Callithrix jacchus: one gene and its partner. The protein of the gene in region 1 binds, or shares a complex with, the protein of each later gene. Links are inferred from orthologs where the notes say so. Each region holds a gene or a part of one and is shown in the gene's direction. Other genes may lie near its edges. The genes, in order: JAML and CXADR.

Region 1 (12,596 bases):
CCTACTGTTTTTCCCCCTCCAGGATTCAGACTATGAAGAGACATATTGATGAAAGTCTGCATGTCATAAGAAGAGTCACCTAATAACGGGAAGCATCCCATTCCACTGGCAGCTACGTCCTGTCAGAGAAGTGGAGCCGGGACCATAGTGATGGACAGTCCTGGAGATCATCAGTGAAGCCTTTCGGAACCGCTTATTTATTGAATAAATGTTTTGTTGTATTTATAAACTGTGCAAGAACTCTCATAAGAGACTCATGACTTCCCCTTTCAAGAAATTATGCTGTAATTGAATGAAGAAATTCTTTTCCTGAGCAAAAAGATGCTTTTTGCTTCATGTTTGCTCTGGGATGTATTACGTTTTCCTCCAACTGTTCGAAGGAGAATCCTGCATGTAGGCCGCACCGCTGATGCCAGAATCACTTTCTAAATGAAGTGGCGCTTGTGGCTTCCTGATTTGTCACCAGACAAAACGTTTGCTTAGGATGGTATTCTTTGTTTTTTGCTCCAGGTACACTTTCAGCTGTGAGTAGGATAGGACATACGCTCGTTGGTTTAACCACCTCAACCTCAGTTGTTTTTGGGTAACTTAGAGTGTATACTCTCAGTTTCCTTAAAGTTGATGGGATCAAATCTTTGGTTTGCTTTGACTGGGTTTTGAAAGTATTAAATACAATGTCATCAATTTACAATTCAGGAAGGGAATAGCGAGGTAGAATAATTATTTTCTTTAGTCTTGCTGGTACAGTTTGGGCCAAGGAGTCTTTTATAGCTACTACTTTTCAAGTCAGAGGCAAGAAAAATTCTTTACAGGTTTTTAGTAGCGGCTTATAGAGTATTTCAGGAGTTCTTTGCGAATATATCATGTTTTCACTTGTATTGTTTTTCAAAACTTTGTTGATTTCTGAAATGTGCCAACTATGAGTAAACTATGAGGACTTGTAAGCTGTTTTTACATAATATTTGAGATGAGGAAGTGAGATTGTGCATAGCATAGTTCTCCTTTCTGTTCTCAGTGCCTTGTAACAGCTTACTCCATTCTGCTATAACAGCTTGTTTCAAATTTTAATTTACATGGGACTTTTTTTTTTTGAGATGGAGTTTCGCTCTTGTTACCCAGGCTGGAGTGCAATGGCGCGATCTCGGCTCACCGCAACCTCCGCCCCCTGGGTTCAGGCAATTCTCCTGCCTCAGCCTCCTGAGTAGCTGGGATTACAGGCACGCGCCACCGTGTCCAGCTAATTTTTTGTAATTTTTAGTAGAGACGGGGTTTCACCATGTTGACCAGGATGGTCTCGATCTCTTGACCTCGTGATCCAATTTTTATAAGCCCTGAAGGCGTATAGATAGCATATCAGTAAAGATGGATAGTGCATATATAAACAGTCCTCTGTAATAGTGATCGGGTTCACTTCTCAATTATGAGAGACAAAAATTATCCCCTCACTGGTCTCTATTCTTTCAACAGGTTGATCCCTTTTCATGGTTTTCATTAGATAGTTCAGGAAGTTTCCATCTTACAGCATTTTAGAGTGTATATGTTAGTTTAAAAACCACTTTTCTCTCTCAATCTCTCTCTCTCTCTCTCTCTCTCTCTCTCTCTTTTTTTTTGCCAAGATCTAATTTAAAACATGTGGGTTGTTAGATCTGTCTCATGGAGTTGGCCTGGTCTCTACTATTAACCTGGTCCACAGATCGGAAAATCTGTTTAGTTGGAGGATATCGTGATTGACTCTGGTCACGCGAGGAAGTAGAAGGGCACAGACAGGACCGGCAGCTGACATTTCCAGTGGTTACACCTCATGGTACTTTGGGCTGCTTGTTAACTTATGCGGTTGTCTCAGGCCAATCTAACGTGACCATGTCTGACACCTCAGCAGAGAGAGGAAAGGAACTGGAGCAAAGAGAGTAAATAATTCAAATCTCTAGAGATTTGAAGATAGAGATCTAATTGTGAGGGGAACTTTCTCGGTGTCCTCATTTCTCCGAGAAAGAGATAATGTCACAGGAACTCACTGAAAGCCACATCCCATTAAATGAGGAACCAGTTTTGGCCGGGCCTTCTTGTAAAGTCCTTGCAGGTGTGTTGTGAAGATCACTGCCGGGTGGTATGTTTGTAGACTGACACCTAGTCTAAGCTCGAGGTAGCTGGTGCTCTGCGAGTACTTAGTCATGTTCTTTTGCAGCCTTAATCGTGACTTGAACTAGTCCCTTCCTTTTAAAAACTGAACAATAGAGTCCTTCATGGTAAGAGAGTACGTTGACAATTTAGTTTACCTAATTTACTTGACTTCATGGGTTTGTAGTCACATCTGTCATTGGCTGCTATCATTTTCCTTCTTTATCCCTTATATTGAGATTTGGGTTACAGCTTTTTATTCTTCAAAGGGTCCCAAAGCAGTGTACAGATGCCTGCCTTCTTTAAGGATGAAAGGAAGAGAAAGTGGTTTACTGTTTACCTGTCTCACCTATTGTTGAATAACTTCTAAGGTGCTATTTTGCTCACTTTGCTACTCCATGGGCACTTGTCATACCCCTGGAAACCAGCTTCATTTAGAAAGGGAACTTAGTTCAGAAGGGGTTGAAAACCTTTCAGAATTTTTCTTTAGCTGCTGAAGTTTTACTTAGCTGCTGAAGTTACATTACCTGGAGTTTTAGGCATTAAGCTCTTAATTCTATTACAAAATGTGAACTTGTCAATTGCTTTGTGTTCTCCATGTGACCTGCTACTTCAGGCTTCTTGGGGAACATCTTAGTCCTCTGCAGCTCCTGAACTCGGCACTGGTGCTTCAGGAGAGAAGGTAGCACGTCTTTGTTAAAAACAAAACGGAACAAAACAAAATGACCCTTCTGGAGGCCACATCCTGAATATGAACCTTCTACTAAGTCACTCAGTTATGGTTCTACAGGGAAACTGTAAGGAGACCATAAGGAGTGGGCCAAGACTGTTATATAATTGCACAACTTGAAACTTCGCTGCCAGAAGAGGCAGCTCCGTTCCTGTGACTCCAGTGTTGGGCTGTTAACTGCCGCATCTCATTGCCTTTTTTGTTTTTTGTAGGAGGGTAGGCACTGTTGGGGCATATGCACAGATATTGTAACTCTTGGTATCTTTACTGCATCATAATTAATAAAGTTCTTTGCTCCCTTCGGCTACCTTTTTGTGTGTGGTTATCTACATATAAGGTGGGAGTTGTCATGTGAAAGAGATGGGGGTTTGTGGTGTTAAGAGAAACTTGAACTGAATTAAATTGAAAAGAATTTAATTGAGTACAGAATGATTTATGAATCGGGCAGTCCGCTGAGCCACAGTAGGCTCAGAGACTCCAGCGCAGCCATGTGGCAGAAGATTTATGGACAGAAAAAGGAAAGTGATGTACGGAAAACGGAAGTGAGATACAGAAACAGCTGATTGGTTACAGCTCGGGGTTTGCCTTATTTGAACAGTTTGAACCATTGGCTGTCTTCGGTTGGCCAAACTCCATGACTGGCACAAGAGTAGACTACAGTCTGTATACTATTCCATTTAGGTTACAGTTCATGAGGTACAGAAAAACCTTTAGGCCAAACTTAAAATATGTGAGGAGGCAGCTTTAGGCTAAGCCTGATTTAATAGTGGTTTTCACCATTATGCAACCAGTCACGTCTGGGCTGTACCCCAGCAAGAACCTGCAGAGATTCCGTGGAGTGCTGGAACCAGCTGACATAGCAAGAGCTGATTACAGGCTGAGTATTCCTAATCTGAAAATACAAAACCTGAAATACTCCAAAGTCTGAAACATTTAGTGCCAACATGATGCTCCAAAGAAATGGTTATTGGAGCATTTTGGATTTTCAGATCAGGGATGTTCAACTGGTATATTTTTGGCAAATATTATAAAATCTGAAAAAAATAAGAAATCTGAAACACTTCTGCTCCCAAGCATGTTGGATAAGGGATACTCCACCCATATTAAATTTTTAGGAATTTTGCAGGCCAGTTGGTAGCTTGAAATAGGCCATGACGAAGATATTTATGCTGTGGAGATAGCTGGCTGTCCAGCACACAAGTTCTCAAGGACCACGTAGCATAGTACTTGGGAGCAAACATTCAACAGCTTTTCAGATGATACAGGACAAGTTCCATAAGATGAGTCTGCCCATGTCTAGGTCAAGATTGAAGATGTGTCCATTGAAAACACCTATTTTGAAGTGGTAACTGAGAGGTATCTTGAAGTGAAGAAGCCTTGAGTTCTTATCTAGGATATCTAAGTCACCCAAGAGGTTCTCTGTGAGAATAAATTGCTTCTGGTATTCTGGAAAGGCTGATATCACATGACCAGAAGAAACTACCATGTGTAGGTGGTGAGCTGGAGGACTGGGCAGGCAGATCTTTGGAAGCAGGGGTTGGGTGATTGCCTGGCAAGGTTGCACCTCTGTTTTGAGAGGAAAAATAGAAGAGGTTGCTGTATCTTAAACACAGAATATTTTTTGTTAATATTAAATTTATTGTATTTTGTTTTCATGAAACGGATTTCTTTCTCAGCACCTATTATATGCCTGGTGTCATTCAAGTTTTTACCCTCAGAGGCAGGAGATGGCACCTTGTCATCTAAAAGAAGAGATGGCCCCTGAAGAGGTCTGAGTGTAAGGTTCACCTCAGTGTGTTGAATTTGTCGCCTCCTTTTAGAATGAGAGTATACATAAAAATTGGGTAATGGGTTAGAAGACTGAAATGAGAAGCTTAGAGTTCCTGTTTGCATCTCTGCAGCCACTTCAGAAGGCACGTGTTTGGTGGCTCTGACCTAACCTAGAGTGCTCACAGAAGTCTTTCGGTTGAGCTTGGGAACTGCAGCTGCAGGAAGATTTCAGTGCATCGCTTCTCCTGGGTGCTCATCATCTTGGGTAAGCAGTCGCTTTGAATTTCTTAAGCCATTATTTGAACTTTTCTCATTCAGAAGTGTGCCAGTTCTGAAGGCTCGTTGAATTGGCAGTCTCTCAGGATTGTGAATTGCAGAACTCTTGATCTCTGCAGGGGATGTCATAGAGCAGTCTAGTGGGTGCTGTTTCAATTACTGTCGTGTGGAGTAACTTAGGTGAATCTCCTCAGCAAAAAGAGGAGCAAAGTTTGCTCATAATGAGTATATGACGATGATGATGATAAGGCTTCAGCTTTTAAGTCATCTCTAGGTTTTGGTAGAGCCATGACTGGCTGTCCTTGAGCTCATGGCAGAGCTCTTCCTTCACTGTTTTTATTTTTAGAAGACAGTTTTAAATTTTATTTTAAAACAAATTTTATTATGTGTGTTTAAGATATAGAACATAATGCTGTAGATACCTGTAGATAGTATAAAGTTTACTATGGTGAAGCAGATTAATATAGCCATCATTTCACGTAGTTACACCACTGTTTTCTTCTCCCCATTACAGACAAGCCAATATTTAACCTTTAGGAGCCTGAGACTTAAACCTCCCAAGAGATCTAGGCTACTGGCCATACTTATTATACCTCAGCACAGCCCTGACCTTGGGAAAGGCCAATGTATGAAGGTTTAAATATAACCCAGTCTGAAGAAGGAAGCAGGAGTAAGGACCTCCAGGGTCCCATTCGTGTAGAAGGCTAACTGATGTGACCTGGACTGTGTTACAGAAGCCGTGTAACCTACCAGTCTGTATTTAGTGGCTTAAGAAGGAAAAATGAAGGCATATTTTAAGAGGCATGGCGTAGAGTGGTTACACGGACTCGTATACCTAAAAACGCCTGAGAGCCCAGAGCTGCACAGCAGTGCGCAGAGAGATTGAGGGGACTTGGCATTGCAGGTGGACAACACTCTTTGAGTAAGGCAAGGCTGTGCTGTTGTTCATTTTCTCAGTGGTTAGTTGTCCTTGCTAGGGACAATCTCTGACTAAGAGACAGCAACTCTCCCTTATTTTGTCTCATGATATTGTAATTTTGGGAGGTACGAATCTTATGTGGCATGCTGCTTTTCTAAAGATTTTTTTTTTCTGTAGTACCTGCCAAGGAGAGCAATTCCCCTACATTGTTTAGTAACTTTTAAAAATTGACACATAATAATTACACATATTTATGGAGTGAGTGCCCAGGGATGTTTTCATACATACAATGTATAGTGATCAGATCAGGCTAATTAGCAGATCCATTGCCTCAAAGATTTTTTTCATTTATTATGTTAGGAACGCTCAATATCCTCCTTCTAGCTATTTGAAACTATGTATCATTGTTAACCTTAGCCATCTTTTTTTTTTTTTTTTTGAGACAGAGTTTCGCTCTTCTTACCCAGGCTGGAGTGCAATGGTGCGACCTCTGCTCACCACAATCTTCGCCTCCTGGGTTCAGGCAATTCTCCTGCCTCAGCCTCCCAAGTAGCTGGGATTACAGGCACATGCCACCGTGCCCAGCTAATTTTTTTTTGCATTTTTAGTAGAGACGGGGTTTCACCATGTTAACCAGGATGGTCTCCATCTCTTGACTTCGTGATCCACCCGCCTCGGCCTCCCAAAGTGCTGGGATTACAGGCTTGAGCCACCGCGCCCGGCCAGCCTTAGCCATCTTAATGTGGTATAGGACACTCAAACGTATTCTCCCTATCTAGCTGTAATTTTGTTTCCTTTAGTAAATCTCTCCCTATGTCCCTTCTCCCCTAGCATCCTCTGTTCTACTTTTTACTTCTGAGATCAACATTTTTCACTTCCACATATAAGTAAGACCACTCAGTGTTTAAGTTTCTGTTCCTGGCTTATCTAACTTAACAGAATGGAATTCTGCTACTGCGGATTCCAGTTCCATTTATGTTACTGCGAAACACAGGATTTTATTCTTTTTAATGCTAAAATAATATTTCATTGTGTACATAGGTCACATTTTCTTTACCCATTTATCTGTTGTTGGACACCTAGATTGATTCTGTATCTTGGCTATTGCAATAGTGCTGCAGTCAACATGGGAGTGTAGAGGTCTCTTCAATATACCGATTTCCTTTTCTTTGGATAAATGTCCAGTGGTGGGATTGCTAGGTCATATGGTAGTTCTATTTGTAGTTTTTTTGAGGGACCTCCATATTGTCTTGGGTAGTGACTAGCCAGGGCCGGTGTCACGGGAGGTAAGGGTATTTACCAAGAAAGTCGTAAGTAAAGAAAGGGAGATTTATTAGAGAAGGTATGAAATATGTTGCAAGATTGCCATGGGCATCGCAACAGGAAAGGGCTGTCTACAGAGAGGCAGGGACTAGAGAGAAGTTTTACAGGGTTGTGCTAGAGGGGGCTACCTGTGGAATGAGGTCACTGTGCCCACAGAGGTCGTTGTGGCCTTGGGTTGTTTGATTTGCTGACTCTCAGTACAGTTGTTCATTGTTCTTCCCCACCTGGGGCCCTCGCCAACTTGGGGCCCCTTCCTCATTGTCGCTTACTTATCAGGACACTACATTCCACCCCTGGCAGAGCAACAATGACAAATCTTGGGCATTGGGCAGAGGTCTCATCTTCCAGCTGCTTCCTGCTGACCAGGGGCATAGCGTTCTCCCTACCTAGAATTGTTGATCTGTTAAGGGACCCTGTGGATCACTGTCCTGGATTGTGGGATATAGGACATTAGATTTTGCTGGAGGAAGGGTCTCATCAGAGGAGGGAGCATGTGAAGGCAAAACTGGTATCCAGCTGAATTCAGGGGAGACTTGTAAAGGTAGCAGCCATCAATAGGGAGAGACTGATGTCCCGTTCACAACATCATCTGAAGGCGAAAGTGCTGAATTCCAGAAGGTAAAATTTTGTTTCTTAAGCCAGTTACTGAAAATGTGAAGAAACGTCTTTTGCAGTGTGACTGTTTTTCCTTATTGAAAGCCCTTTTAGATAACCTGGAAGTTTCTTGATGAAAAGCATTTGAATTTAAATAGACACAGCATAGGGAACAATTTTGGACTATTATACCTCAGTTACATACAACATTCTTTTAATAAATTTCTTTCATGAATTTTCTCATGGCTTATACCATGTATGACATGCTTAGACTTTATGACTTCTCCTAAATATATATTTTTTTCTTTTTCTTTTTTGAGATGGAGTTTCACTTTTGTTGCTCAGGCTGGAGCGCAGTGGTGTGATCTTGGCTCACCACAGTCTCTGCCTTCCACATTCAAGTTCAATTCTCTTGCCTCAGCCTCTCAAGTAGCTGGGATTTCAGGCACCTGCCACCATGCCCTGCTAATTTTTTGTATTTTTAGTAGTGATGGTGAAACCATGTTGGCCAGGCTGGTCTCGAACTCCGGAACTCAGGTGATCCGCCTGCCTTGGCCTCCCAAAGTGCTGGGATTACAGGCATGAGCCACTGTGCCCAGCCAACATCCTTGTTTCTTAACAATTGGTCATTTTACTTTACAACAAGAATTTACAACACAAGATCCTTTCTTACATAAAATCTCTTTCTTTATAACTCTCCTTACCAAAAATATCTCTTCACTTTTATAACCTTTTTTCTTCTTCTTCTTCTTCTTTTTTTTTGAGACAGAGTCTTACTCTATGCCCAGGCTGGAGTGCAGTGATGCAATCTCGATTCACTGCAACCTCTGCCTGCTGGGTTCAAGTGATTCTCAGGCCTTAGCCTCCCAAGTAGCTGAAACTACAGGTAGATGCCACTATGCTTGGCTAATGTTTGTATTTTTAGTAGAGACTGGGTTTTATCATGTTGGGTAGGCTGGTCTTGAACTCCTGACCTCAAGTGTTCTACCACCTTAGCCTCCCAAAGTGCTGAGATTACAGGCGTGAGCCACTGCACTTGGCTTTCACCTTTATGTTATTCTTTATAACTCTCTTATTTCCTGGTTCCTTTTACCTTGTTTTATATATAACCTCTTTTTTTTTTTTTTGATATGGAGTCTCACTCTATTGTCTAGGCTGGAATGCAGTGGCACAGTCTTGGCTCACTGCAATTTCTACCTCATGGGTTCAAGCAATTGTTCTGCCTCAGCCTCCCAATTAGTTGTGACTACAGGTGTGTGCCACCACACCCAGCTAATTTTTGCATTTTTTAAAGTAGAGACAGGGCTTTGCCATGTTGGCCAGGCTGGTTTTGAACTCCTGACCTCTGGTGATCTACCTGCCTTGGCCTCCCAAAGTGCTGGGATTACAGGAGTGAGTCACCATGCCCAGCCTATATATAACCTTTAAGTAATCTTTGAATTAGACAAAAAATATTTTCCTTTTGTTAGGAAGTTAAGGTTTATACTGCGTGTTGCTGTGTGAGTTCTGTGAAAGGGGCACAAATGAAGAGATTATCCCCCCTCAAGAGATTGCTGGGTTAAATTTCTTGCTAGGGTGTGCCTGAATAAGTGTGGCTCTTTTTAAACCCCTGAGGTAGGACTATCTAGGTTGAACCTATTGGTTAAAGATTTCGGTAGCTTTTCTGGGAGAAAAAGAGATATTAGAGGGAAAGATGAATTCAGAAGTTGGGTAAACATTAAGCAGGCACCCATCTTGGAAAGGATATAGTTGCCTCAAAGGGGTGTGGGGCATTTGGATATTACCAGGGACTGGTAGGGGAATGGTAATTAATCCCTTAAGTAATATGAAGGGGTATGGACTTTTCCTTTTGGAGGGAGGGGGTGCCACTTGTTCTCCTTACTCTACAGGGTTTGGAGGAGAGTTGCTCAGAGAAGATTAGTATAGAGTCGCTACAAGTCACTTCTGTAGCCAAAGGATAAGTCCAAAATGTCTAAAGGCAAAATCTTTACTTGCTAATAGAGGGGAGACGCCACTTTCCAAACAGGTCACAATAAAGACAGCATGAGGCCAACCAAATCTGTTTCTCTCTCCTCCTTTTTCTGTTGTTTACTAAAAGGTAAACAAAAATCTTTCATTATTTTAAAACATTACATAAAAATCTTGTTTAAAAGAGAAAGCCAAATTTCACCTTTGCATTAGTATATTATTAATGTTAAACATAATTCTTAATAAAATCTTATAAACAAATCTATACAATCATAATCAGTTTGACCATAAGGTAAAATGTCCATAAACCTCTCCTAAGTCTTTACAATTTTCTGTTGAACAAACAAATTCTCTGGAAAGCCATTATTGAGACACATGGGCCCAGATTCTGGCCCTACATCAGTATGCTTTTATTTCAGTGTTTGACCTATGGAAAAACTAAATGATTCCTTATGCCCACAGAACTTTTCACAAGATTAACCCTTCACAAATCATTTTCAACACGCTTAAATCATCAGTTTTGTACCATTACTCTTTTTTGTTGTTGTTGAGAAGGGGTCTCGTTCTGTTTTCTAGGCTGGCTGGTGTGCAGTGGTACAATCTTGGCTCACTGCAACCTCCACCTCCCGAGGTCAAGTGATTCCTCTGCCTCAGCCTCCCAAGTAGCTGGGATTATAGGCACCTGCCACCATGCCTGACTAATTTTTGTATTTTTACAAAATACAAAAATTGGGTTTGTCATGTTGGCCAGGCTGGTCTTAAACTCCTGACCTCAAGTGGTCTGCCCACCTCAGCCTCCCAAAGTGCTGGGATTACAGGCGTGAGCTACCATGCCAAGCTGTCCCGTTACTCTTTTAGGTGAGGCCAATACTTAAAACCCTCTGAGCTAGACAAAATTATGTTCTCTTTTACAGAAACCATACTCACATGCCTTCTTATAACCTCCCACCGAGAACACATTCTTTATTTACACTGTCTTTATTTTTTATTTTATTTACACTATCTTTATTTTGTATTATATTTACACTGTCTTTATTTTTTATTTTATTTATACTGTCTTTATTTTTAAATTATATTTACAGTCTTTTTTTAATCATTAGAGTCATGTGACCTAAAAGAGATTAAAGTTTCAATTTTTCTGATAATAGGTTTGATTTTAGTTTCCTTAAGCCAATTAATTAGAGCTTTTATATAAATACTATACACACAACACATATAAATACACAGACAGACAGAAATGGAGAATCAAGACAAAATTCCATTGACTGAGAAGTTTTTAGAGAGAAGGGGCTTTTTTTTTTTTTGAGACAGGCAGACTGGAGTGCAGTGGTGCAATCACAACTCACTGCAGCCTCAACCTCTTGGGCTCAAGTGATCCTCCCACTTCAGCCTCCTGAGTAGCTAAGGCTACAGATGCCTGCCACTACACCCAGCTTTTGGTAGAGATGGGGTTTTCCCAAGTTGCCCAGACAGGTCTCAAACTCCTGAGCTCGAGCGATCTGTCTGCCTCTGCCTCTCAAAGTGCTACAATTACAGGCATGAGCCACTGTGCCTGACCAGCAGGGGCTTTTAAAACAGTATCTGTATAATACAGGCCAAATATCATCTTTAATTAAGTTGATTTCTGACTATGGGGTTCTCAAAGTAAAAATCCCTTAAAAATCTTTTATTACCAGACTTTAGCCAGGACAAATGGCCAATATTTCTGGCTTTTGAATCTTTACCTAAAGGTTACCTCCTATGTGAAATTTGTAAGCCGTAAATAAGGGGATGACTTAAACACAGACACACAGTGTCTCCAAAGAGATGGTAAGCAATTTACAAGATCTAGAATTGCCCCAAAGGTAACTCAGAGAAAAGAAAATTTCAAGACAGGAAATCAGGAGCTGTCCACGGAGGGAAAAAGAATCAATAAATGATTAAGCCCCAGAAGACTCACTTTTGAAACCGGGAATTGAACCCAAGGCACCAGTGTAAGAGGGCAAAGCCTTAGCAACTGAGCTACAGCAAGAGTCCCCAACCCCAGGGCAGTAGGCTGGTTCTGGTCCACGGCCTGTTAGGAACCAAACTGCACAGCAACAGGTAAGCGGTGGACAAGCGAGTATTACCACCTGGGCTCTGCCTCCCGTCAGATCAGCGGAGGCATTAGATTCTCATGAAAGCGTGAACCCTATTGTGAACCTCTTATGAAGGAACATAAGGGGGTTTCCTTCTTATGAGAATCTAATGCCTGGCGATCTAAGGTGGAACAGTTTCATCCCAAAATCATCCCTTGCCTTCCCTGGTCTGTGGAAAAATTGTCTTCCATGAAAAGGGTCTCTGATGCCAAAAAGATTGGGGGCCACTGACCTATAGTGCAAGGTGGCTGCTGTTAGTTTTTTCCAGGAGGATTTTAGAGCATTTGCAAGCTTACAAAGGATTTTAACTTCTCGAGAGAACTTTCTAGGACTAGCCATGTTATTTTTACGCATGCTTCTTTTAATTTAGTCTTGTTCTTTTAATGGTGTACTCAGTTCCAGTAGTGACTCAATCTAAAAGCCTGTTGAAGTCCAGATAGTAATTTTCCAGATTTTTACCACGTAAGCAAAAGGTATTTCCAGAAACGGGTAGAGGAGGCATCTCCATGACAGGCAGCTCTTGAACTCAAAGGGCTTATACTCTTGGGGGTGGAGGTAGAGAGCAGTGTCTTAGTTAAGTGAGCACACAAATAAATAGGTAATTAGACATGGTGGCCCATGCCCTAAAGGAAAGGTAGAGGTACTATTAAGACATGTGGCTTGGGGACCTGACCTGGGATGAATGGTTGAGGAGAGGTTTCTCAAGGAGATGATGTTTGACTTGAGATGTGGGCAATCTGAGTAGGTGTTAACTGGGTGAAGGCCTGAGCAAGGTGGATTG
Region 2 (11,960 bases), on another chromosome or scaffold:
AGAGGATTTCTTGTAGCCCTTTTTTCCATGTTTTTAGATGAGTCATGACCGCTGCTGGGAGAAACCACCAGAATTGTATTCTCTTGAAGGTGAGAATGGGATTGAAGCTTATCTATTAGTTTTGCCTGGAAAGTCTGCCTGGATAATCTGGGGCAAAAGATAAGATGAAGTGCCCTCTAGTGACCCAACTGAGTGGTGGTCACTGGAGCTCATTCGAGTCACTGGTTGGTAGTGGCTCTGTCTAATGCTTTGGTTCTTTGGTGGGAAATCTGAAGTAGTTGCCCTCATGGCATTCACAGTGTAATGCCAGTTCATTCATTGAGCGGGTGTGTTATATGGCCATTCACCCAGACAGATGACTGTTAGTCTTCTGGATGTGAGGGGAAGCTTGTTGCTATAGCTTGCTCCATTGCCATGCCTGCCTTGCTCTTTCAGACACAGCAAAAGTGTATGTGGATGCAGCTCAGTAAAGAAGCAGCGGAAGTGGGAAATGATAACAAAGAGAATTGATAGAAAGTTACTATTGTGGCCACATATCACCAGCATCTTCCCCTGGAGCTCTGAAAGGGCCAGTTTATTGAAACCTTTTGATCTAAAGAGACAGAGTTGTTTTGAAGAGCAGAACATGCAGTTAACATTCCTGGACATATGTGGTTACTCACACTGCAGCATGCCACCAGATCACAGTGGCAACAGTAAGTGTAGCAGCTCAGTCATCACTGGCTTTAAAGGTCCTAAGGGATTTGCAAACCACTGATTCAGGGCAGGGCCCCTCACTACTTTTTATTTTGAAATAATTTTTAGTTTTATAGAAACGTTGCAAAAATACTGGGAAGTTTCTGAGAGTAGACCCATCATCTCATTTCCCCTAATGTAAACATCTTACAAAATCATAATTATCAAAACAGAAATTAACCTTGATAGGATACTATTAACTGAATTACAGACCCGATTTGAATTTTACTGTTTCCCAGGAATGTCCTTTTTGTACTAGGATTGTATCTAGAATCCACACTGCACTTATATCTCCTTGATCTCCGCCAGTCATGTCCAGGGGCAATGATATCACGTCTTATTGTTAATCGTGATCATTTACTTTAAGTTTTATCTGGTGGGTTTCTCCACTCTATAGTTATTTTTTTCCTTTCTAATTAAAAACTGTCTTGAGGGAAATACTTTGAGACTATGTTGTTTCTCATTTAAACATTTGCCTTTTGATTTTAGCATCTATTGATAGATTTTTCCTGGAATCAGGGTATTTTTGAACCAGTCAGAAACTGTATTTTTGGAAGGATGATATCATGATAAAAGCATTTCTTGTCTCATGTAGAGATTTAGAGTGTACTTCCTGTAGACTGGTATAGGCCACTAGCATGGAAAGATGATGCAGTAATACATGTATAGAGCAGAGCATTACTAAATTGATGGGATACCATGTCCATCTTCAACTCGATAGTCACTTACCCTTATCTGAGGACGATTGACTCTGTTAATGATCATGTAGGCAGATGTTCTGAGGACAGTGGTCAGGTATGTGGGAAGCCCAGACCAAACATTTAGGGACAAGACTTTATTTGTGCTCTCTTTGTGGTTTTCTTCTGTTCCAGCAGAGGACCATGGGTTAAGAATTAATCTTCCTTGCTTATAGCCATTACTGGAAATAAAAAAAAAAAAGGATTAATCTTCCCCGAGGTATAATGGTTGGATGTTGGCATGTAAAAGACTCGTACTTTCTCTTCCCAGTGGAAAGTAGGTGGGCTGCTCCAAAGTGTCCCTCAGAAACCCATGTTGGTAGAATTTTTATTGTGGATGGTTATAGTGAGGACCTGAACTTCCTAGCAGCAGCTTTAAATAACTCTCCATTATTAGATATGTTTAGATACGTTGGTTATGTGGGAGAAGAGGGATATAGAAAGGATAAGGGTTAGACTTAGAATTCCATATTACCCATAGATGTTTGATGCACAAAGCATTGCATCAGTTACTCATTTGCTGCTAATCTATTCCAATAAAGGATTTATTGGTAGTTTGAAGAAATGAAATAGAACAAGGCTTATTTCATTGAAGACTTTCAGGATGAAATAATTTGCAAAACTTATTTAAAAGTCCAACTGATAGAGTCTCCAGAGCACCTGGTCAGTTTGAAAAGTAAACAGATTTGTTTGGAAAAATCAACAATGCAGTTAAATATGTCTGTTAACCCTTATTTTAAAAGTGTTAAGTAGTAATAGATGAAGAGGAATACAGTTAAATTTGTTAAGGACTTACTAAGGAGTAAGATCACAGTTGACAACCTTAGTTTGAAGATACCCCACTGGATATGACAAATTGTGTTGAGCCAGTTTTGGGAAACAATTTGACAATTTCTTACACGGTTAAAATATTTACACTCACCATATGATCCAGCAGTTACTACGAAAAAGGAAACCATATGCCAGTGTTCAAGCAGTGTTCTTAATAGTGCAAAACTGTAAAATGCATTTACCTTTATTCATAGTAAAGAATAAAAACCCATTTGGGACTGAAAAAAGGAAAATCAGCTTAAACTAAAAATGAAAAAAAGCAATCTTGACATTTATCAGCCTGGAAGGACAGATACAGATAAAGTCAGCTGCAGAGTATATGAAAACATTGTCTCTCCCAAGCCTGTAGAGCAGTAGCAAAGCATAGACTATTGCTATCTTCCTAATGGTGCTCCCAGACCTACACTACCCATCCTCTACTGGAATGCTCAATTACTAAATGGCCCTGCCTCCTGACAGCTCCCACTTCCAGTTTAATCCTCATATCTCCTCAGAAACAGCCGGTTGAGAGCTGATGGCTACTTCCTTAGAACCTCCTCAGAATCCTTCAGCATCCTTACTCTTGTCCAGTGGCATTCTGTGGTTCCTCATAATGCCTTTCTCACTGGTCCATATGATTTTGATAGACTAAACACTTGCTCCTTGTCAGTTTGGCTAACAAGGCTTTCATAGTAGCCCCCAAACTGGAAACACAGTATTCATTAACAAGTGACTGAATAAGCAAACTTGTGTTATAATCATTCATTGAAATACTAAAATAACTACATGTAAAATAACATGGATCAATCTCAGAAATGGTATGCTGGATAAAAGAAAACAAACAGTATGTACTGTATTGTTCCATTCATGTAATTCTGGAAGAACTAATCTACAGCAGTAGAAATCTAATCAGTTGCTTCTTGGGCCAGGGTTTTAGAGTCACATGTATTGTAACTAGCATGAGGGAACTTTCTTCGGAGAGGGTTGGAGTGGTGCTTAATGGATACAGATCCATTTATTAAAAGTAATCAATGCACATGATTAACATGTTAACTGTATTGTGTGAATATTATGCCTTATTAAAGTTCAGCAGAAGAGCCTGCAATGTGGAGGTGTTAATCCAGGATTGGGGTGAGTTGCAGGTAATGGAGGTAGTCGCTGTCCTAAACAGTTACCCAGGAACACCTGGAATATAATCTCAGATTTCCTTTTATTTTAATATTCTTTTTTACATATGAATTTCCAGATTGTGAATATCTTTTTGACTCAGGGTCTGGTTCTGTCACCTAGGCTGGAGTGCAGTGACATGATTATAGCTTCACTGCAGCCTCAAAGTCTTGGTCTCAAGCAGTCCTCCTTCCTCAGCCTCCCAGGTAGCTAGGACAACAGGCCACATATCACCACATTCAGCTAATTTTTCAAAGTTTTTGTAGAGAAAGGGTCTTGCTATGTTACCTAGTCTGGTCTCAAACTCCTAACCTCAAGTGATCCCCTGCTGCCTTGGCCTCCCAAAGTGCTGGGATTACACCATGCCCAGCACAGATTTTTTTTTTATAACCTGCTCTTTGGATGGATTTGAGTTGATATAAATGCAGAGTGTTAGTTGGTCCTTTCTACACTAAATGAATTATCCCTGTTAGTATTTTTGATTATAAACTGCCTGATTGTCAGGGTTATGGCATTAGAGGGGTGTGACTTGGGACATACTGCCAGGGGGCTACATGTCAAGCATGGAGAAGAATAGCTAAGGAATGGAAGGGGGAGCTTCCTTGATTCTCAAGTGCTCTTGCCAGAAAAAAGCAAGTGCATCATCCTTGGTTTTTCAGGTATGCCTCGTGGAGTGGATGGGCGCCGAGCTACGCCTGAAAAATTGCCATATCTACTAATGCAGTGGCTGCTTGTCTCTGAGCTTATTCTTTTCTGTTTTGTCTCAGACAAAGCTGAGTAAACTGATGTTGATCACTTATTGTGGTCTTTCATTTTTTTGTGAATTCTGAACCCAGGACCAATTGATAATGAGTCAGTGGTTGTGCACAAGGCTGTAATCATAAAAGTAAGTTCCATTATCTTATGTAAACTCATAATTTATTTTCTTTTTCAGTTAAGCCTTCAGGTACAAGATGTTATGTTGATGGATCAGAAGAAATTGGAAATGACTTTAAACTAAAATGTGAACCAAAAGAAGGTTCACTTCCATTACAGTATGAATGGCAAAAATTGTCTGACTCACAGAAATTGCCCACTTCATGGTTATCAGGTACTGCTGATAATAGTATTTGTACCATGTGCCGTTGATCTGGACTAAAATATAGTAGGGGGGGGGTGTGTGTAGTTTGAGATAGGGCCTTGCTGTCTCTTCCAGGCTCACTGCAATCATGGCTTACTGCAGCTTCGCCCTCCCAGGCTCATGTCATCCTCCTGGAACTACAGGTGCATGCCATCATGCCCTGCTAATTAAAAAAAAAAATTGTAGAGATAGGATCCCCCTGTGTTGCCTGTGCTGGTGTCAAAGTCCTGGGCTCAAGGAGTCCTTCCTTGGCCTCCCAAAGTGCTGGGATTACAGGCATGAGCCGAGGCATGTGCCCAGCCTGCTTATATATTTTAGATTCCAAATGCTTTCCCTCTTCTACATAGAACAATCATGATTTCCATGGGAATTATTTAGTATTTTTTAATATCAATTTAGTGTCATGTATTATAAATGAAGAGCTATTTTATGATTTCATTTTTTAGGATATTATAATTTGTTACTTTGGCAGATTTTTTTTTTTTTTCTTTTTTCCTGAGACAAGGGGTGTCACTCTGTCACCCAAGCTGGAGTGCAGGGGCAGGATCTCGGCTCCCTGCAGTCTTCACCTCCCAGGCTCAAGTGATCCTTCCTCTTCAGCCTCCAGAGTAACTGAGACTACAGGCATGTGTCACTACACCCTGCTAATTTTTGTATTTTTTGTAGAGATGTAGTTTCTCCATGTTGCCCACATTGGTCTCAAACTCCTGGGTTCAAGCTCTCCACCCACGTCAGCCTCCCAAAGTGCTGGGTAAATTATAGGCATGAGCCATTGCACCTGGCTGATTTTTTTTTTTTAATTGATGAGAAATGTTTATGGTTATGACTTAGTGGCCAAAGTGTAATAAGAGTTGGATCTTTAGTGTTCTGCCTAAATTGAAATATAGTAATTTACCCATGGTGTGTCTATAAAAGAAAATCTGTGTGACACTAAACTAGAAAGTTCCAAATTGGCTGAATCTGTTCACCTATTTGCTGTAATTGACTTCTTAGTTTAAACTGATTACCAGGCTCCACCCGCCATCCGCTGCATTCTGGGCTTCAGTGGGCTTTCTCTGCCTTTCTTTTTCTCAAGCTAAGAGTCCGATTTGGGAGACCCCCATTGACTTCTTTTTGAATGTTTCTTCCATCGAGGGGGATAAAATAGGTTTTGTAAGTTTTCCTGCTGAATGAAAGATCCTTTGTAGAACGGGATAGTTTTATAGTCTGATGTGCCCCAAAGTGGGTTTGCAGCAGCCACACAGTGGGCCAACACACTGCTTCAGCTCTGAGGCCCTGTGGTGCAGGGGATCATGGTTACTTTCACCTTGATACATGTGAACTGGAAACATGATTCTTTGAATTCTGGAGACATGTGTGTGGCTCAGTGCTAGTTTGTTTGCAGCCAGCTTTGATCTGTCTTGCTTTTAACTGCATTGTCAAACTTGGTAGGGGCTATGTTTACTAACAGCTGAGAGTAATACATACTATAAAACTGAGTTTGTTTTTCCTCCTTCCATAGAAATGGCTTCATCTATTATATCTGTAAAAAATGCCTCTTCTGAGTACTCTGGGACATACAGCTGTACAGTCAGAAACAGAGTGGGCTCTGATCAGTGCCTGTTGCGTTTAAACGTTGTTCCTCGTAAGTATCTTCTTTCACTTGGTGGTTTTCTTTCTGTTATCTCTATACCATCTTCTTTAGTTCAGTTAGCAAGTGTGTATTAAGGGCAAGGGGACTCAGCCTTTGATCAGAACACTGGTTTGATTATTAGCTTTTCTAGAAAAAGTTTTGTTTTTTTTTTTTTTTGAGACGGAGTTTCGCTCTTGTTACCCAGGCTGGAGTGCAATGGCGCGATCTCGGCTCACTGCAACCTCCGCCTCCTGGGTTCAGGCAATTCTCCTGCCTCAGCCTCCTGAGTAGCTGGGATTACAGGCACGTGCCACCATGCCCAGCTAATTTTTTGTGTTTTTAGTAGAGGAGGTGTCTCACCATTTTGGCCAGGATGGTCTCGATCTCTTGACCTCATAATCCACCCACCTCGGCCTCCCAAAGTGCTGGGATTACAGGCTTGAGCCACCACGCCCGGCCCGAAAAAGATGTTTTATTTTAAAAACTTCATAATTGCAATGATATATTAAGAAGGTAAGAATTGTCAAATCAACCCTCGTACCATACTTATAAGTGTGAGTAGCTCAGAATATTCTCCTATGCTAATCAAGATAGCTTTGAATATTAAATTCTTTCAGACAGGTTTTATCATTTTTATGTTTGAAATAGATTATACAGTTCAGAAGAAAGTTCTTCTTATGAATTTTTTCTCTGGATCAAAAAGACTAAATTATTTGTCTCTTAAAGTTAATACATGTGATGAAATCAATCTATAAATGTGTAGCCTACCTTCAGTATCTATACATGTGTATTTTTTTTTATTATTAATTCTCATTAACTTCTTATTTTTAGCTTCAAATAAAGCTGGACTAATTGCAGGAGCCATTATAGGAATTTTGCTTGCTCTGGTGCTCATTGGTCTTATCATCTTTTGCTGTCATAAAAAGCGCAGAGAAGAAAAATATGAAAAGGAAGTTCATCATGATATCAGGTAATTATGTGAGACAGGAGCTGACCGATGATGTATACCAAGTGTGTGTCATGTCTCTAAAGCATTAGTTCTTTATTAACCATCCAAAGCAGCTTTCTTAGGAAAATGGATAAAAGCTTAGGCCCCCTTCTCCTCAATGCATTTACTGGTTTTTTTGTTTGTTTTTTGTTTTGAGATGGAGTCTCGCTCTGTCACCCAGGCTGGAGTGCAGTGGCATGATCTCAGTTCGCTGCAACCTCCACCTCACGGGTTCAAGCAATTCTCTTTCCTCAGCCTCCAGAGTAGCTGGGACAACAGGCGTGCACCACCACACCCAGCTAATTTTTGTGTTTTTTAGTAGAGACGGGTTTTCATCATGTTGGCCAGGAGGGCCTCGATCTCTTGACCTCATGATCACTTGGCCTTCCAAAGTGCTGGGATTATGGGCGTGAGCCACAGCGCCTGGCCAAGGCTTCAATGATTCTTAATGTCTCACTGGTGGAAGGTTTTGCCTCAGTGTTGATGCTGCTGCCGAAGGTTGGAGTGGCTGTGGCAATTTCTTTCTTTCTTTGGTTGTTGGTTTTGTTTGTTTGTTTGTTAAGACAAGGTCTTGTTTGCCCAGGCTGAAGTACAGTGGTACAGTTATGGCCCACTGCAACCTCTGCCCCCTGGGTTCAAGTAATATTCCCACTTCAGCTTCCCAAGTAGTAGCTAGGACTACAGGCATGAGCCACCACACCTGACTAATTTTTGTATATTTGTAGAGATGGGGTTTCACCACATTGCCAAGGCTGGTCTTGAACTCCTGGGCTTCGTTAGCTCCTACCAAGAATGTCAACCTGTCCTTTAAAGCATTGAAGCCACACACCAACTTCTTTAGCTATGAAAGGCCTAGATGGTGTTTTCTTGCAGTAGAAGTCTGTTCTGTCTGCTGAAAATCTGTTACTTAATGTAGTTACCTTCATCAACGATCTTCTGGATAACTTTCTGTAGCTTCTTCATCACCACTTTGTCGCATCACCTTGTACTTTCATGTCATGGAAATGGCTTGTTTCCCTAAACTCATGAACCAGCCTCTGCTAGCTTCCAACTTTCTTTCTGCAGCTGCCTTAGCTCTCTCAGCTTTGATAGAATTGAAGAGACTTAGGGCCTTGCTCTGGATTGGGCTTTGGTTTAAGGGAATGTTGTGACTCTTTTGACCCTCTATCCAGACCAGTAAACTTTCTCCATATCAGCAATAAGACTGTTTCACTTTCTTATTGTTCACATGTTCACTGGAATAGCACTTTAAGAACTTTTTCATTGCATTTACAATTTGGCTTGGCTGGGGCAAGAAACTAGCTTTCAACCAGACTTGATTTTCAGCATGCTGTCCTCGCTAAGGTTAATTATTTCTGGGTTTTGATTTAAAGAGGGCCATGCTGATGATTGCTTGAGTCCAGGAGTTTGAGCTTGCAGTGAGCTATGATCACACCACTGCACTCCTGCCTAGGTGACAGAGTAAGACTGTCTCAAAATAAATAAATAAAATACATATTTTTTAAGTGAGAGCTATGCTAACTATTCCTTTTACTTGAACACTTAGAGATCACTGCAAGGTTATTAAGTGGCCTAGTTTTAATATTGTTGTGTCTCAGGGAATAGAGAGGCCTGAGGGAGAGGTGAGTGACAGGGGTGGGGTAGAGTGGGGGAATGGCCAGAATACACATAATATTTATTAAGTTTGTTGTCTTATGTGGGCATAGTTCATGGCGCTCCAGAACAATTAAAATAGTAACATCAGAGATGACTGATCACAGATCACCCTAACAGGTATTATGATAATGAGAAAGTTTGAACTATTATGAGAATTTCCAAAATGCAACACAGACATGAAGTGAGCACATGCTATTGGAAAAATAGTACTGGTAGATTTGCTTGGCACAAGATTACCACAAACCTTCAATTTGTTATTTTAAAAAATGCAATCAATATCTATGAAGTGTAATAAAACCAAGTCACAATGAAATGATTATACCTGTATTTTTTAAATTTACTGAAGATCTCAGATACACAGTTATCCTTTGGTATCTGTGGAGGACCTCCTGTGGATACCAAAATCCAAGGATGCTCAAGTTCCTGATATAAAATGGTAGCCAGATGCAGTGACTCAGCCTATAGTCCCAGCACTTTGGGAGGCCAGGAAGGAGTTCAAGTCACCAACCTGAGGAAGATGGAAAGACTCCATCTCTATTAAAGAAAAAGAGGCCGGGTGCGGTGGCTCACGCCTATAATCCCAGCACTTTGGGAGGCCGAGGCGGGTGGATCATGAGGTCAAGAGATCGAGATCATCCTGGTTAACAAGGTGAAACCCCGTCTCTACTAAAAATACAAAAATTAGCTGGGCATGGTGGTGCACGCCTGTAGTCCCAGCTACTTGGGAGGCTGAGGCAGGAGAATTGCTTGAACCCAGAAGGCGGAGGTTGCAGTGAGCCGAGATCCTGCCATTGCACTCCAGTCTGGGTAACAACAGCGAAACTCCGTCTCAAAAAAAAAAGAAAGAAAAATAATATAAAATGGCATACTGTTTGTATATAACCTTCACATATTCCTCTGTATACTTTGAGTTATCTCTAGTTTATTTGTAATACCTGTTATAATGTAAATACTATGTAAATGGTTGTTATAATGTATTGTTTAGGGGATAGTAACAAATCTGTACATGTAAGGTAGAGATGTTATTTAAAAAAAAATTTTCTATATGTGGTTTGTTGGCTTCACAGGTGTGGAGCCCATGGATATGGAGAGCCAACTGAGCTCTTTGTCAGTGTGTGGAATGAAAATTCTTATGCTTAAATTCCCAGCAAACTTAAATCTCTAGTGTTTTCAGCTAAGGTTTTAGATAAATTTAATAGAAAACAAATTTTTCTTTTTTTTTTTTTTTAATTTTTTGAATTTTTATTTATTTATTTATTTATTTTTGAGAGAGTCTCATTCTGTCCCCCAGGCTGGAGTGTTGTGGCATGATCTCAGCTCACTGCAACCTCTGCCTCCTAGGTTCAAGCGGTTCTCCTGCTTCAGCCTCCCGAGTAGCTGGGATTACAGGCGCCTACCACCACGCTCTGCTAATGTTTTGTTTTTCTTGAAACGAAGTTTTACTCTGTTGCCCAGGCAATGGTATCATCTCAGCTCACTAAAACCTCCGCCTTACCCAGATTCAACTGATTCTTCTGCCTCAGCCTCATGAATAGTTGGGACTACAGGCGTGTGCCACCGCGCCTGGCTAATTTTTATATTTTTAATAGAGATCAGGTTTCACTTGTTAGCCAGATGGTCTTGATCTCTTGACCTCATGATCTGCCCACCTCGGCCTCTCGAAGTGGCTTACAGGTATAAACCACTGAGCCTGGCCAATTTTTGTATTTTCAGTAGAGACGGGGTTTCACCATGTTGGCCAGGCTGGCCTCAAACTCCTGACTTTAGGTGATCCGTCCGCCTCATCCGCCTGAAGTGCTGGGATTACAGGCATGATTAAGATACAAATATATCTGTAGGTGTTAGTGTTTTATCAACTGTAAAGTGTTATGTGGCTGTAACTAGATTATCTAGACCAGTGATACTAGAATATGAAACTATTTGAGATTTATGCTTTGTAAGACAACATTCTAGAATCAGCTACATTTGTGTAAATACTATATTTCACTAAATGTGAAGTTGTAACTCTTTAATCAGAATGACAAATTGGGGACGCATACACAATTTATGATATTATGGTTTGTTCTTTTTGTTTTTTTGTGACACACAAACACACACACACACATACTTTTATATGCTTAGTATTTAAATATAGGCCCTTGCCCATGATTCATAGCTTGCATAATTGTAGGTTTTTAGGAATGTATTCTCTTGACATGTGTTGGGGATTCTGTTTTCCAGGGAAGATGTGCCACCTCCAAAGAGCCGTACGTCCACTGCCAGAAGCTATATAGGCAGTAATCATTCATCCCTGGGATCCATGTCTCCTTCCAACATGGAAGGATATTCCAAGACTCAGTATAACCAAGTACCAAGTGAAGACTTTGAACGCACTCCTCAGAGTCCCACTCTCCCACCAGCTAAGGTAGCTGCCCCTAATCTAAGTCGAATGGGAGCGGTTCCTGTGATGATTCCAGCACAGACCAAGGATGGGTCTATAGTATAGAACCTCCGTATGTCTCATCTGTGCTCTCCATGTTTCTTTCCTTTTTTTTTTTTTTTTTTTTTTTTTTTTGATATATGAAAACCTATTCTGGTCTAAATTTTGTTACTAGCCTCAAAATATATATATAAAAAAACAGGAACTGTAAGAAATATATTTTTAAAAATTTTTCTTTGGTTATATTGAAATAGTTACAGGCATTAAAGTTAGTAAAGACAAGTTTACCATCTGAAAAAGCTGGATTTTCTTTAAGAGATTAATTTTCAAGATTTCTGAATATTAGTACCTAAGTAAATGTAGCACTTTGATTATGAAATCATAGGTGAAGAAATTGGTTAACTTACTTGCATATCAAGTTGATACTTGAATAACCATCTGAAAGTGGTACTTTATAATTTTTACCATTATTTTTAGGATGTGTATCTCATTTATTTATGTCCCAGCAGTCTCCCCCAAATTAGTAAGAAAACATCCATAACGAAATTACTTATGTATGTGTGTGCTTGTTTTTGTAGTTCCTTTGAAAACTCTAAATATGTTTGGAATAAAACACAGAAAACTACAGTGGTTTAGAAATTACTAGTTTTACTTTTAAGTCATTCATAAACCTTGTCTATGAAATGATTTCTTAAATATTTAGTTGATAGACTGCT

The links.
Region 2: the proteins of JAML (region 1) and CXADR are in contact, whole or in part, in a crystal structure (PDB 3MJ7), measured with the Mus musculus proteins. The link is inferred for Callithrix jacchus from reciprocal best matches to the Homo sapiens genes JAML and CXADR. Residues at the interface, in NP_001005421.3 of Mus musculus: Arg57, Asp59, Ala69, Tyr72, Phe75, Tyr77, Leu80, Val82, Glu120, Arg122, Ser127, Met128, Val129, Met130, Lys131; in NP_001020363.1 of Mus musculus: Thr23, Gly51, Pro52, Asp54, Glu56, Leu58, Ser60, Gln65, Ile66, Val67, Asp68, Gln69, Val70, Leu73, Tyr83, Lys121, Lys123, Lys124, Ala125, Pro126, Gly127, Val128, Asn130.

What each region holds. Positions count from the first base shown.
Region 1 is NC_133511.1:17,864,350-17,876,945, reverse strand, and holds the start of JAML (junctional adhesion molecule-like), read left to right. Parts: upstream 1-4,812; 5' UTR 4,813-4,883; intron 4,884-12,596. Other genes in the region: MPZL3 (myelin protein zero-like protein 3), read left to right, coding at 23-49. UniProt on the Homo sapiens protein: Transmembrane protein of the plasma membrane of leukocytes that control their migration and activation through interaction with CXADR, a plasma membrane receptor found on adjacent epithelial and endothelial cells.
Region 2 is NC_133522.1:24,525,676-24,537,635, forward strand, and holds part of CXADR (coxsackievirus and adenovirus receptor), read left to right. Parts: intron 1-4,383; coding exon 4,384-4,539; intron 4,540-6,070; coding exon 6,071-6,193; intron 6,194-7,012; coding exon 7,013-7,151; intron 7,152-11,045; coding exon 11,046-11,310; 3' UTR 11,311-11,960. UniProt on the Homo sapiens protein: Component of the epithelial apical junction complex that may function as a homophilic cell adhesion molecule and is essential for tight junction integrity.